Linked DNA regions of Lepisosteus oculatus. The protein of the gene in region 1 purifies or fractionates together with the protein of each later gene. This does not show direct contact. Links are inferred from orthologs where the notes say so. Each region holds a gene or a part of one and is shown on either strand. Other genes may lie near its edges.

What was found.
Region 2: the proteins of lrrk2 (region 1) and rpl23 purify together in Homo sapiens (affinity purification with mass spectrometry; 3 studies listed by BioGRID and IntAct, with this or other methods). This does not show direct contact. The link is inferred for Lepisosteus oculatus from reciprocal best matches to the Homo sapiens genes LRRK2 and RPL23.

What each region holds. Positions count from the first base shown.
Region 1 is NC_090702.1:37,348,553-37,355,945, reverse strand, and holds the start of lrrk2 (leucine-rich repeat serine/threonine-protein kinase 2), read right to left. Parts: upstream 3,013-7,393; 5' UTR 2,467-3,012; coding exon 2,328-2,466; intron 2,068-2,327; coding exon 1,982-2,067; intron 1,052-1,981; coding exon 945-1,051; intron 376-944; coding exon 287-375; intron 1-286. UniProt on the Homo sapiens protein: Serine/threonine-protein kinase which phosphorylates a broad range of proteins involved in multiple processes such as neuronal plasticity, innate immunity, autophagy, and vesicle trafficking.
Region 2 is NC_090723.1:10,331,286-10,339,304, forward strand, and holds the start of rpl23 (large ribosomal subunit protein uL14), read right to left. Parts: upstream 3,020-8,019; 5' UTR 2,931-3,019; coding exon 2,918-2,930; intron 2,143-2,917; coding exon 2,059-2,142; intron 1,734-2,058; coding exon 1,605-1,733; intron 417-1,604; coding exon 303-416; intron 1-302.

The DNA of each region.
Region 1 (7,393 bases):
GAACAATGAGAGAATCACATAATTAAAAATCTAAGCATGTTACTTCATCTAAAATTATTACACAGACAATACAAGTAATGTAAAGTGAGTTCATTATCTAAAACAGATAAAAAGAGGGTGCCTAGAGAAAAAATGTATTCCAAAGTACTAAAACATACAGAATTATATGATTTTAATTAAAAACTGATACAGTACGTGACACGTCGACTAATAACACATATAACCATTTCTGAGTTATATGCGTATACAGTACATCAAATTGGGATAAAACTTAAACAGCCCCAACCTGACTGTAAAAGATGCGATAAAGCTCTGAGTCCAATCATCATCAGCTTTGAATGGCCATTGTGCAAAGACAGCATCTTCAGAATCTGCCTTTGTAAAAACACATTGTGAGAAAAATAAGAAAGACTGACATGCAACCTAAATAAAAACAGAAAGGCTTATCTTTTTGTATTTTTCAGCTGCTTCAAACAGTGTGCTAAAAGCAGACCCAATTAATGGCACAAACAAGAAAAAAATCACATCCTCTTGTTAACAAAGGCCTGTTAGCAGTTGTGGTTCTCAAAATTGCAGAGGAAGTGACTCAACATCTTATTGTAAAACTTGCAGACCTGCAACCTAGGTGTCTCCTTCCTTGTACTGTACATTAAAGAAAGAAAATTAAAAAAAGTTAAAGTTCATGTCATCCCAAACAAATTTTCCCCAAACACCCCAGTCACCTCCTTCCTTCATTAAGCATCTACTTAAGTAAACTAAACATTCAAGCTTGATTTATTTTTAATAAAACCCTGCAGGAACATAAATGCCGTGGACTGCGGTCATTTCAATTCCTTATTATCACCCAAGCCCGCAAACCTCTTCACATCTAGAAACACAAAACATAAACATGAAAGTTTACATCAGTTTATGAATTTGCAGAAGAGATAAACATGCATACTTACTGGTGTATTCCCAGTACTTCCCAGTCTTTTTCAACTTGTGGAGCTGATAACTTTTCCAAAGTAGAAGGGCAAACTTCCATTAGTCTGCAGAGCAATGACCATCCCACCTTAGGATCAAACCCATTCAGTTTTAGATCAGTACTGTTGATTTTTCATCAGAAAACAATTACTAAGACTCCAAAGCGTTCATCAGTTCTTAAAAGGCATTTCAGGCCATTTGGTATGGGATGTGTTCTCTGCCTTACTAAATAAAGTAAGAATGTATTATAACATCGAGCAGTAACACACCCTGATACCACTCATAAAATGCAATGAAAACTGCTTTTGGGTTAAATATTTAACTTAGGCTCTCTTCCTCCATTCCCAAGAACAAGAAGCCAGATGCTCAGGCATTCAAACTTAGATTCCTAAAGCTGTTCATGGACATGCTTCAAAAGCACTTGGAATTCCTGTAAGGCAAGTTTCCTATGTACAATAACCTCAGCGTCTTCCAGGTTGGCCCTATAACGTTCAATCACCCTTAATTAGTTCATAATCACAAAAATAAAAACTGTTGTATACATAATTTAAAACATTTATCAACCAAGCACTTTAACTTCCATGGGCACATTTCTTATAAATACATTTATAAGAAAAATATATAAGACATTTCTAAGACAGTATTACTAAAACTTGATACTATTAGAGTTGTTACAGTATGGAGAATTTCAATTTTAATGTCTCTGTACAGCAATCAGGATAAAACTCAACAACAACACTATTCAGAAGTATTAAGGTAAGAATTAATAAAAAGGGGACATTAAAACATTACCATTAATTAGAAAACAATAATGCATAAATAACTACTGTATATTTTATGGAAAAAGCTAACTAAACACCTTTTCCCCAGTGAACATTGCACTTTTTAAATAAACTCTTGCAATGAAAAATAGATTTTTTATTTTTCCCAAAATCGTATCATCTGGTGCTTGGTCTTAATATATTTTCTAAAACCACCACCATCGTTAAAATGGCATCAGTAAATAATACGCACTGACCTCTTGTACAGCATGACTGTCAATGTAAGAATCTAAGACCACCATTAAAGGCAGGTGAACGTCTTTATCTTCAAATAATTCTGTTGCTGAAAAAAATAGACAGTATTATCAGTAATTCCATTTTGAAGTAGATACGATGCTCAACGATAACTGATTTACAGTGATTTGCAACTATACTGTAGCTCGAGAAGACTTTATTTTTATAGCACAGAGTGTGAAGAGGCAGGAGTTAATCGTAGTTCTAAAAGTAAAATTAGTTTATTGTTCTATAATTCAAGTAGATCTGCCTAAAGTATGTTTTCTAAAGGACAACATCGATATAGTACTGTATCTACCATCTACTCACCACAGTCGCCAGCAAAAGTAAGGAAGAGTAAATCCTCAAGAATCTGAATAAGTGTATCCAGTTGCTTTCCTTCTTGGACATTTTTTAACCTCACAATTAATTTTTTAAGCTTTTCTTCTAGTTCCTCCTTATTGGCCATGTTTCACAAGTCACAATCTGTTGAATAAAAAAGAGGGCAAATATGATTACTTATGGAGCCATGTTGCCCGTAAAGTTGTTTTTCCACTGTGCTACAGTAAGTGCAACACACTGGTAAAGTGACATGCAATACAGTATGTGACAAACTTTTTCACACCGCAGTATTACATGACGTATGTAGCTAGGTTGAAAGAAAAAACATTGCAGGAAGTCCTCCTCATTCATAAACAAAACAGTTCAAGCTTTGAAGCAGATGAGTAACACAACGTATATCTTTTTATTTTTAATTAAATATAGAAGTTAAACATCGTTTCTGCTTCATTCGTTTTTAATAGCACTGCAATCACATGACTCTTCGTAGATGAAGGCTATCTGTTTTGTTTCCTCCATTGAAATATACAATACTGAACAATACAGAAGCTCTGTTCTGTGGTTCGACTTTGCAGGCTTTCTTGTTCAAAAATTAACTTTGCAAATGATGGCTTTTAACTTAAATCGCATTCAATTGCTCTACTTTTCTTTATCAGAATATTGTGAAATCTGAAACCTTTCCCCAAACATAAAGACGTAATAAAAACGAATTGCTTTACGGTAGAACGTCTGAGTAGTATTTTTGACAGGACCGCAGACGACAGTCGTACTTTCCTGTGTTATATTTTACTTATAAACAATTTAGATTAGATTAGGTAGCCTCGAAATATCACGTAGGAGTTTGCGAGACTTTCTAATGATCTAGTCAATGCGACTGAAAGTTTTACTACACAAGTGTACATTGATCCAGCCTGTATACCCATGATTTTAGAGTTATATAACTCTTCCTGTTGTATTTTCTACTTTTATTTGCAACCGAGTACATTTTGATGACATCTCACCATGGAAACTTTCCCTCTTTACTAGCGGTCACACCACCTACACAGCTTCAACTTCTTCATATTATTTCTGTAATAATACAGTTTAAGCAGTGTATCCCTTATATTTTTGTCAAATCTGTGTAGCTATTTCTGCTACTTCCACTTTCTCTATATTCAAACTAATTGCAAATGTCAAGCTAGTTCTCAATAACATTCAGGGAAACGCGAGTGTTTAAGAAGTGGTTACTAGAAAACAGGGAGCAAATAGGGCATGAATACTCAGACTGGGGTGAAGTAATTAGTCGAGTATCACGGGCATCTGTAGCAGGACCAGTGTTCTTCGTAAACTTTAGTGGAGTTTGCAGATGATGCCAAAATAGGGGGATTGGCAAAGATTGCAGAAGCGGCAAATGAAATACTGTACATAACGATTTAGTAAAAATAAAACACGACCGTGCACGTTGTGTTTAGTGTACACAAGTGCAGCGTATGGCATGCTGGTGGTAAAAATATATATATACTATAACTACAAACTATAAATAAATAAAACTATAAATACAAATATTCTAACTAAGAGGTTTAGGGAAAAGACTTAGGTGTTTATGTTTACACATCATAGGCATCTTCTAGGCAGTAAAGAGAAGAAATTAAAAAGACAAATAAAATACTAGGATATACAGTATAGTTAAAATGTAGAATTGAAGTATGTTATTGTAGCGCCCTCGCCTGCAGGTGCAGGACGGGAGTAGTGGTGGTCAGGGCAGGGACTAGGAGTGCCGCTGGCCAGTGCGGCAGACCAATGGCGGAACCGGTGTATACGGTCGCGAGATCGCCCGGATTTATGTAAATAGTTTCCTTGGTTTTGGACCCTTTTATACATGTACCCAATTATAACCCTATTCCGGTGTCACTGTACCCTAATTGATCCCAGTGTTTTGTAGTCCATCATCATGTTTTGTTGCACATCACCGCCTGCGTGCTACCGAACAAAGAACATATCTACTCTGTTAGATGCCTCATAAAGGCCAGGTCTATTCTCAAGGACCCCAGTCACCACAACCATAATCTGCTTTCTCTACTACTGAAAAAAAGAAGAAAGAGAACACAACGTTTCGGCCGTGGAGCCTTCTTCAGGTGTCACACATGGAATGGAATAAACCTATTACTTGTTCCTTTGCAGCCTACGCATGCTGACGCAGCTACCCACCTTTCTCTACTACTGTCTGGAAAACGATACCGAAGCATACAGACCAACAGATTTCAAAACAGCTTTTTCCCTCAGGCAATAAAACTGCTAAACTGCCAACCATGGCAGCCAGCAATTACCCAAACAACCACTGATAAATAGTCAGTCCACTTGAAACTGATAAGGTGTACCTGCGTTTTTTTTCTTTCCCTGACATCTCTGACCCCGCCATTAACACCAGCAGCACTGACAGCGTTATGAGCACCATCCCCCAGGCCAGGCTGACCATCACGGCTGACCAGGTGAAGAGGGAGCTGAAGAGGCTGCACCAGGGTAAAGCCACAGGACCAGATAACGTCTGTCCCAGAGTTCTGAGGGCTTGTGCTGATCAGCTGAGTGGACTGCTCCAGCGACTGTTCAACCTGAGCCTGCGCTTGGAGAGAGTCCCTGTGCTCTGGAAGACATCATGCCTGGTCCCGGTACCAAGGGAAGAGCGCCCCTCTGTCCTCAATGACTACAGACCAGTTGCACTGACTTCTCACGTAATGAAGACACTGGAGAGGCTGGTCTTATCCCACCTGAGACCCCTGGTTAGTTCACTGGACACCCTACAGTTCACCTACCAGCCCAGTGTTGGTGTGGAGGATGCAATCATCTACATGCTGCAAAGGGCCTACTCACACCTGGACAAGGCTGGCAATACTGTAAGGATCATGTTTTTCAACTTCTCCAGTGCCTTCAATACTATTCAGCCCTTACTTCTAAGGAGGAAACTGGAGGAGATGCAAGTCGGTGTGTCCATTATCTCATGGATCACTGACTATTGACAGGCAGACCACAGTCTGTGAGACTTCAGAACTGTGTGTCTGAACAGGTAGTAAGTAACACAGGGGCTCCCCAGGGGACAGTTCTTTCTCCATTCCTTTTCACCCTCTATACTTCAGACTTTAAATACAACTCAAAGTCGTGCCACCTGCAGAAGTTCTCAGATGGCTCTGCAATTGTGGAATGTATCAAGGGTGGGGAGGAGGAGGAGTACAGCGGACTGGTCAACAGCTTTGTGGAGTGGTGTGGGAAGAACCACCAGCAATTGAATGTAACAAAGATGAAGGAGCTGGTGGTAGATTTCAGGAGGAAAAGGGTCAAACCTACTCCTGCCCACATCCATGGGAGTGGCATGGAGATGGTGGACTCATACAAGTACCTGGGAGTGCACATCGACAATAGACTAGAATGGTCTAAGAACATCGAGGCCATTTACAAGAAGGGTCAGAGCCGACTTTACTTCTTGAGGAGTCTCAGGTCCTTCAATGTATGTAGTAAGATGCTACATATGTTCTATCAGTTGGTTGTGGCGAGCGCCATTTTCTACGTGGTGGTATGCTGGGGCTCTGAAATAAGAGCAGTGAATTCTAACAGGCTGAACAAGCTCATCAGGAGAGCAAGCTCTGTCATTGGGTCTGGCCTGAACCCCCTGGAGGTAGTGGGTGAGAGGAGAATGATGTCCAAACTAGAGGCCATCATGGACAACGTCTCCCATCCCCTCTATGACATGCTAGTAGAAATGAAGAGCACTTTCAGCAATAGACTGATCCATCCACAGTGCGACAGGGAGCGCTACAGGAGGTCATTCTTGCCTTCTGCCATAAGACTGTACAACGCATCCACCTTGCATCTGGGCAGTGGCAACATTGACACAGTGACCTGTTTCTGGACTGAACAGTAAACTGATACATCTGTTCTTTTTCTTTTTCCCGTTTACAACCATTTTGTGCAATATATGCCAGGGACCTGTGCAATACATTTATATTTATATTGTGCAATACGACTTTTTTGTGTACTGTTCTGTTCTGGTTTGTTCTTTGTGTGTTCTGTACTGAGGAACTCTTCTTAGTGCACTCACTGTACTGATTGTATTGTATGTATTGTATTATTATTATTATTATTATTATTATTATTATTATTATTATTATTATTATTATTATTATTATTATTATTTTATCATTCGTTACACTGTTGCTGTGTTGTCTGTGTTAAGCTGCTGTTGCGCTGCAATTTCCCTCACGGGATCAATAAAGTATCTATCTTCTATCCCTACCATATCTCCTTATGCTATTGTGTAAATCTTGTTAATTGTATAATTTATTGTATTCTACTTGTAACCTTAATTCGATCAACTTCTGTCCTATCTCTCCTTGCAAGCTTGTGGAAAAAGCATGTCATTGCTGACAACCCCCGCTGTATGCTGTATTGTTGTGTAATTGATAAATAAACCTTGATTGATTGATTTACATTGATTTTCCCTTCTTTAAGGGAGAGTGAGGGGGATTTTAATAAAAATCCAGAGTGAAAGCATAACATTTACCCCAAGTGTGTACACAGACCTGAAAAAATGCTTTATTCATGTAAGTAAACTGAAATAAGGTGAGTGACACATACAGTACTTTGAGATTAAATTAGATGTGGCATATGAGAAGTGATAAGCCCTCTAACACAATTTACATTCACCTTTTTTCTTCAGATATCATTAGGGGCATTAGAACCCACACAGTGAGTAATCACCCTCTTCTGCCCACACTAACACCTCTTCCAGTAGTATCCTTTGTTTTCCCAGAGGTCTTTTATCCAGGTGCTGACCAGGCTAATACCTGCTTAACTGCAGTGGGTTCCCAGTTGTTAGATGCAGGGTGATATGGCTGCTGGCAATACTGATATAATATATATGTATTACATCGGCATGCGAGCTTTAAAGAAACGAGGTTAAGTTACTATTACAGTAAAACGTAAAAGAGAAATATGGAAACATCATTTCGCCCTTGGAACTGAGATTTACATTTATACCGCTACATATTTTTCGTATACTCAGAAGACAGCTAATATTCAAAACGATA
Region 2 (8,019 bases), on another chromosome or scaffold:
AACGGCGCAAACGAGAGGCTGTCCGGTGGACAATATCCAATCAAGCAAAGGATGCTGGAAAGACCAAAGGAGGTTTGACAGCTCGTGTCAATCACCCTGCGAGGGGCTGTCCCAGCGGCTGGCGAGTGTCCCGTCGCGGATTGAGAATCTGCAGCACACGCAGCTGCCCTCTCACCCAACAGCGACGCACTTCCTGTGCCCTTCCACGACAGCTCACCCCGCCACTGCACACCAGGCGGGGCAAGTGCTTTAAGAAGGGCAGGCGGGGGGGGGGGGTGGCGCGCGCAGGACCGGCGACTCACCTTTCATCTCTCCTTTGTTGTTGACGATGACCCCCGCGTTGTCCTCGAAGTACAGGAACACCCCATCTTTCCTCCGGTAGGACTTCCGCTGCCGTATCACCACTGCAGGATGCACTGCAACGAGCCGCAGAGGGAGGTCAGCGCACACCGCAAAGTCAACACGTCAGCGCGCGATCGCCATCCGGTGGCGGAGCCCAGGCGCGCAGCAGCAGTGGCGCCTGGGGCACCGGACTCAGCCTCCACTGGCTGAAGCAGCTGGGAGCCTAGCAGGATCCCTCTGAAGGGGGAGGTGTCAGATCAACACACTAACACCACAGGTACCACAAACTGGACGCTCTGCTATCCAGCGAAATTAGTGCGACAGTATGCGTGTACAGAAGGGAGGCGGCAGACTAGGGCCACTTCCAGGAACAAGCTGGGACAGCTGGACATCCACTGTCCGCAAACATCCCTGCAGTCTGGTGTCTGATCCCTTTGTACACATAACCCCCCTGTGACCACATGTACACAGTTGTGTTAATTGCTTTTAGTCAGCCTAAAAACTGCAGCCCCAAATATGTAATAACATAGTAGAACTGCCACCACTGGAATCTCTATGATCACGTAGCTGATACAGTAGGCATGTGTGCAGCATCAGCTACCTGATAGCAGCTCTCCAGGGGGAAGAGAATATGAATACATTTCTACAAATAATCTAACTCAAGAAGATCATCAACATATTTAAATAAGGAGGACTCAAGTGGTCAGACCCAACACCCTACAGCTAGGAAAACACTGTTCCTGACTGGCGCACACTATTCAGAGGCTCCACAGGCCCATGGATCACATTGGCATGAACAGGCACACTACAGAACCATCACCTTTCAGCAGTCTTCCACCGAGCAGCAACAGCTCTGGAACCCATCCTGTAAACTAGCAGCACTGTGCACATCTCAAGACAATGAGAAACTCTCCCGGTATTCCCAAGAAGCTAAACACTATCCAGCCTTATGTGCATCTGTGAGCTGCACACGGCTCTTGCTTACACATTTCAGCAGCCTAAAGTTCTACATGAAGACTTGCCCATTACCAGAGGTTAACCTCGGTAGGTCTGTTCTTCTTGGGTTTAAATATGGGAACCAGAAAGGGACTGATAATGTTTAGAATCCACCCAAATCGAAACTGAAATAATTACTAGAATACGCACAGATTACAAACCCAGCAAGAAACGCAACCAGTCTCGTCTCCTGGCTGTAACTGGAAGCTGCCCCCAGACCGAGAGAGAGGCAGCCTTCGCCTGTGCCGAGCCCCAGCCGCACTCACCCTTTTTCCTGAGCTCCGGCTTGCCCTTCTTCACCGTGGCCATGACCATGTCGCCCACACCGGCAGCGGGCAGCCGGTTCAGGCGCCCCTTGATGCCCTTCACAGAGATGATGTACAGGTTCTTGGCACCTGGAACAGACAGCGGGGCGGACAGTGAGCCGACAGCTCCGCGCTGGAAATCTGAGCCGGATTGTCCATCTCATGCTACGCGGAGAGGAGGGGGACAAGGGTGTCAGGAGAGAAGCTGAGTTTCAAGCCGGCAAGTGTCGCGCCGTGGATTGAGGACGAACAGCACGTTGCTGCCACCTCACCCATCAGCGGCGCTCTTCATCTCCCCTCCCTCGACAGCTCGCCGCGCCACTGCGCGCAGGCCAGGCGAGCGCTTTCGGGAGGGCTCGTCCCCGGTCAATCCCCAGCGAGCAGGACCCACACGGCTCGGTTCGGCACGGCTCACCTGTGTTGTCGGCGCAGTTGATGACGGCGCCCACCGGGAGGCCCAGCGAGATGCGGAACTTCGCGCCGGATGAACCACCGCGTCCTGCGGGACAGAGGCAGCAGAAGAAAGAGACTCGTTAACCTGAGGCACCAGGACCGGCCCGGCCCGCAGGTTCTACACGCGATCCTGCAAGAGCTTTCCACCTTCCGTTCTCAGCCGCTGAGCAGTGCAGCACTTCAGCTCCTGTCTGTACAGCCAGCACATCAGGAACGACACTACACGTTTGGACTTCAGCGCGTCTGCCTCTACAGTCCCGACTGCTCTACAGCACAGCAAGGCGAAGACGCGTCCTTCGTCATTTTAACCCACAAAACCGGCTGTAAAAAGAGGAGCGGGGCAGGAGCTCTCCGCCAGGCCGGCTCTGGGCCCGGAGCTCGGCCATCAGCCGCACGGAGCGCCAGCGAGCTCCTCCTCGGCTCCGGTGTTACTGCGCTCCCGGGGCTGCGGCTCAGGCCCGCGGACAGAGACAGTCCTTCGCACCGCAGCCCGTCTGCGGACACTCCGGACCCGCATGCGGTCACACTCGGACCCCAGTCCCAGCGCACGGCTACTCCCACAGCTGGGACCCGAGCGATAGCTCGGGACAAAACCACAACATTTCAGCCGGAGGCCCAACATGGCTTCTCCCGAGTGTCACGACTGCCTGGCTCTGGCAATCAATTTTTTATTTGTCTCATTACAGATACACGTAAAATACCAAGCGGCTGTGAACAGTTAATTAATCTCTTTATTAAACCTAATGACTGTGAAACACCAAATACCCCAGGAATTAAGGATGACTTCGGATTTCTCATTCTCAGTCTCAGCGATCTCTTACCTCTCTTAGACATTTTGGTTCAGGGAAAGAGGGAGGAGCTTCCAACCCTGCTGGGATATATCGCCAGGGTTTGGCCTCAGACCCCGGTCATGTGACATGGGAACAGTTCCGGTTTGTCCCCCACACGTGTTGAAGCAAACAATTTGCGTCACGCCACAGTCACGTGAAGAGGGATAACGTATTATTAACTCAAATGAGGTTATAGTATCATTATTAAATAAAATATTGATTTTAAATGCTTAGTTATATTTTTACTTAATTCCATTTTCTTTCTTCCACATCCACTAAATATTTGTAACATATAAAGCAGTTTTATATGACCAGTGTTATGGTAATTTCCAATTCTGTTTTCGAAAGAATAATAATTTACGTTTCATTTTAAACTTTTCAAAAGATTTAACGATAAAAACCTATGATCCCGAAATGCAGGCGTGGAAATTAGAATTAAGTTTACAAAGCGCTATGAGAAATCTGTCAACGCATCAACAAATAAATTCCTAACTCGCTATCTGTAAAGATGTGCATTAAGAGACAGAAATAGCCCTGTTCTACAAATGCGTAGCTCAAGCAGCCCTGTTCTCCCAAACCTTTCTGTGAGATTAATTATTTTTCTATTGATAACCTCCTCATGATGTGAAAACGTCAGAAATGTAATACTGAATTTTCACCATCAGGTAGCGCCTAGCAGGACAGACGCGGTTGCTTCCTTAGTTAAAAAAGACTGACGTCTGTCGGCCAACTGGGAAATTACCTGGAATATATAAGAAATATTGCAGATTAAATTATATATATAGTACGAGAAGTGGTACATAAAACATTTAAAGAAAACATTACGGAATAGACCGAGCAGCTTCGCGACTTTACGTCCAACTTTATTCTTGCAGTAGCGACAAGTGGCCAGCAGGTGGGGGAGTTGCGCCACTAGTGCGCTTAATAATGAAAGTCTGGATAAGCTGCCGTCAAACCTAAGGCAGGAGGAGGGCGCTGCGCCGAGGGAAGGTTGCTGGAGGAAGGGATTTGGTTTGTAGCTGTCAACTGGCTGTGACCTGCATGGACAGCCAGTCTGGAGATGGAGAGGAGAGGAGGAGCAGTATCATTTCACAGATACCAGAATAGCCACAGTCACAACACAATTAAGAGACACAGCCCATATTAGGCTCATCAGTCTGATATTCTAATGAGTAATGCTGACTGGCAGCCGCCCACAGTGCCTACACAGCAGCAGGAGGCCTGTCATTACCGCAGGCTGATTACGGTGCTCGATGCCGATTGGCAAAGGTGCCAGGATGAGAAGCAGGGTAAGCCAGCCCTGTCAGTGCTCCAGCAGCACGTTGCCCCTGTGCCAGCCTGTCTCTGGCAGCAGCCCTCCAAGCTGGCGAGGGGGGTCAGACTCTGCTGGCAGTCTGGGTCCTGCAGTGCCAGTGCTGTGGCCAGCACAGCAATCGCAGCGCCTGAACGTTTAGTCCAACTCATGAACAGTATATCCACTGCTTGAATTTGCGTTAGAAAAGGGATACTTCTGCCAAATGTCCGGTCTTCTTCAGAGACCTCTCTGTACCATATGAGAGAAGATCTCTCTGCTGACGTCCTCTTGCACACCCCCAGGTGCCCCCCGCTGCGGCTCTCCGGAGGGCTGTGGCCCTGCGGCACCCCTGGCAGCAGGGAAACGCCAGCCTGGCGCTCTGGTGCTTGAGAACCACAGCCCTGCAGACGTCCCCTCCTCACCTGCCACCCCCGGCTGGAGAAGCAGAAAGGCTTCAGCTGTTTCAATTAAACCAGCAAGTAGTTAAATTAGGAAATAAAGACCTCTGCAGACCTCCCTCACCTGGTTCTGCACATCTATTTCCTGGACAAGAACTGTTCCTGTACTAAAAAAAAAACAGTCATTTTGAGTATTTAACCCTTTCAACTGAGATCTTAGGCACTTTCTCTTTGCTTAATAGACTGGGGTTATTTTGCACATTTTTTTCCATCAAAACATACTCATAGATTGAGCTGAATTAATGGCGCAGTTATGGTCAGGGTTATGGCTGGCCAGCCTCTCCTCTCCGACACCATGGGGCTCCGTGTACTCCAGGGCAGCGACCAGACTGTCTGTCTGCCCTGAGGAATCCCTGACATCCTCACTGCCCGCTCCACCCCGCACCCTGCTCTTTCATCTTCATCTGAAACTCCTGACGGTCTCAAAACATCCTGTTTGCCTCCAGACAGGCTGCAACCTGTCAGCTCCCCAACCCCCCCAATTCAGGCAACGGCATCAACACTCATGCAAATGCTGCAGAGAAGCACCCTGCTCACACTCCTTCCCTCAGAAGTGGCATCAGGAGGAAAACAACAGCAGGAAGCAGCATCAGTGTGTGGCCCTGCAGCAAGACAGTGACAGTGTGTGGCCCTGCAGCAAGACAGCGTCAGTGTGATTGAGGAATGAGCTCGGCAGCGAAGGGCCCTGAGCTCCCCTCCCCTTGTTTACGGTCCCTGCAGTCACCTGAAATCTCCAAACCTCCTTTAAGAACTAATTCATTTATATCATTAAAAAGAATTGCAGGAATATCAACAGTTTAAATATAAAGTCGACAGCTTTGAAAGCATGCTTTTTTTCCCAGTTTTCACATTTAAAGTCAGACTTTGATTCTGAAATTCTCTGATCAGTGTGGGTCCAGCTCTCTGTTTTTGTCATTTTTGTTGATTACTTGGATCTTGTTTCCTGGGCTGTGCAGTGATGTGAAGCGACCTGTCTGTTTTCACAGGATAAAAAACAAACTGTCCTTTTAATTCCTTTCCTCAATCACCAGCAGGTCTCTCCGGTCTTCTGGGCTGCTGAAGAACAGGCACTGGCGGTTAGATACACAGCAGGGGCTTCGACATGGTTTTGCTCCAGTACAAAGTTTCCCATCCTGTTTCCTGAATGTGACTGTAAAGAGTTTAAATGTGCACATTCAGAAAGAGGCAGGACTTAGGGGAAGGAGACATTTTTTTTTCTTTAGGTAAGTTTAATAGTTTTCTCTGTGGTTATAGAACTGTGACCAGCCTTTAAAAAGCCCCTGCTACGTTGAATGTGAATTGGGCGTGAAGAGAGAAGAGTGACCCCTGCAGGGCAGGAGCAGAGATGCACGCCTGACAGAAGTGAGTACAAAGAGGAGCAGAACCTTGAAAGACAGGAGCCGTGAAACTGCACGCCTGCTGTGCAGGGGCCTGGGGTTGGGCACCTGGAGTCCCTGGCTCTTTAAAAAGTCCCGCAGGTAAAACTGGGCTGCACATGGGCTTGTGCTGCTAAGCCAGAATAAACCTGGGTTCACGCAGACAGGTGCTGAATGAAGGGATCAGAGCTGGTCTATCCGAGACTTCCCCACCTCAGCAGCAGCCTCTGTCTTCGGAAAACACTGTCTCAGTTCAAAGATTAGTTGCTGTACTTCACCTGCTCTTAAGGTATGCTTTCATATGGCTGCCTGGTGCCAAAAACACAGTATCAGCCCACTTATCTTGCAGGCGGGGGAAGGGGGGGGCTGTGAGGCTCAGGTAAGTTCCCTGCTGGAGCCTGAGTGCAGGGGCTCGTCTCTGCCTGCGCTGGGAGGGGGGCGGCTCCTTCATTCATGGCTGTTTCTTGTCTTAATGGAGGCAGGCGTGACGTCCGCGGAGAGCAGAGCCCGTTTTCCCATGAAAACCTGTCGGCACAAACATGTCAGGCTGCTGCTCACATGAACAAAATCACCTCAAACACGTCTTCAGGCAGCAGGCTAGGGCTGGGGGCGTCGGCTCCGGCTGCACGTGACCCAGCCACACAGGGGCCTGATTCAACCAGCCGACTCCGCCGCACTGTTCATCCTCTTAGTGACAAACACATCCCCTTCAAAGGTTAATGTCTCTGCTCAACACAGTAAAAACAGAGTAAAGCCCAGAGGAATCATGGTAAAAACACAGGGAGCAGGGTATATAATGTGAGAAACTATGGCAAAGCAAAGTAAACGTTTTGGTATGAAACCGATACACCTAATGGAAAACTGCAGAAACACCCAATCAGTTTGCTTGGATAATTATCACAGGTCAGCACAACAAATCCCTCTGCAAGAAAAGGGGAACATTCGAATTGCCTGAGACTCTCAGATTCGCAGTTTTATATTTAGTCTTTGGGTGGTTCCTCTCATGCTGCATGGAGTTTCTGTGGTTTTCCACTCAGGACAGAAAAGAGCACCTGAGTCAGGTGTGCTGTGACCAGGCCCCCAGAGGGCTGCGCCCTCTCCCCTAATCTCTTAATGACACAACAGGCAGGAAGAGGAAATTAAATGCCTGACTGGAGCTCAAGGAAGAAGCTCGGCTGCTAAGGACAGGGTGTGGGTGAGGAGGATTCGTCTAATGAGGGGTCTGTCCTCTGAAAAACAGCCTCACAGCACAGGCCGAGCCAACAGCGCACAGGAGCCACACAGCAGCTGGTCTGGGTTTGTCCCGGTTTTTGTCAGGGGTGACTTTAATGCCCCTCCCAGGGTCTGTAAAATAAAATCTATTTAGAAGTCAAAAGAAATGACATTTTTCCTTTTTGTTTCAATTTTTGGTTGAAGAACAGAATAGTGCAATGAGGTATGTTTCTAAAATGAGCCCCCCCCCAGACATTCTGAGGTCATTGTCTAAGGCGTTGGCTGTTTAGAGTTGAGCCCCAATCCTGCTTGGTCACCATCCAGGCGACAGCATCTAGTCAGATGTGAAGGTGAGACCTGAACCTTAGCAATATCTCCGTAGTAAATCTGCACTGCATTTTGCAATTTGCCCAGCAGTGAGTATTGTCTATACTTTCCAACCTCTTATATTACATGCATGACATAGTTTAGGATTAGGGTATGTGTGTAGTTTTGGTTTAAGAAGCATGTACAGATTCCCCAGTAGTCATGGACAGTCCTAGATCAGTTGAACAGCAGGCTCTGTAAACACAAAAAAGTAAGATAGCAGGGCCTGTTTTTCTGCACCTGGGCTGCAGAATCCCTGTGTTTAATGGCAGAATTTCACAACAAGTTTGCATCCCTCAACACTTCATTACTCAGACTAGACAACCAAATACACACCCCTGCTGAACAGGCAGTCACAGGTGTAGTACTGGGCTCATACACACACAG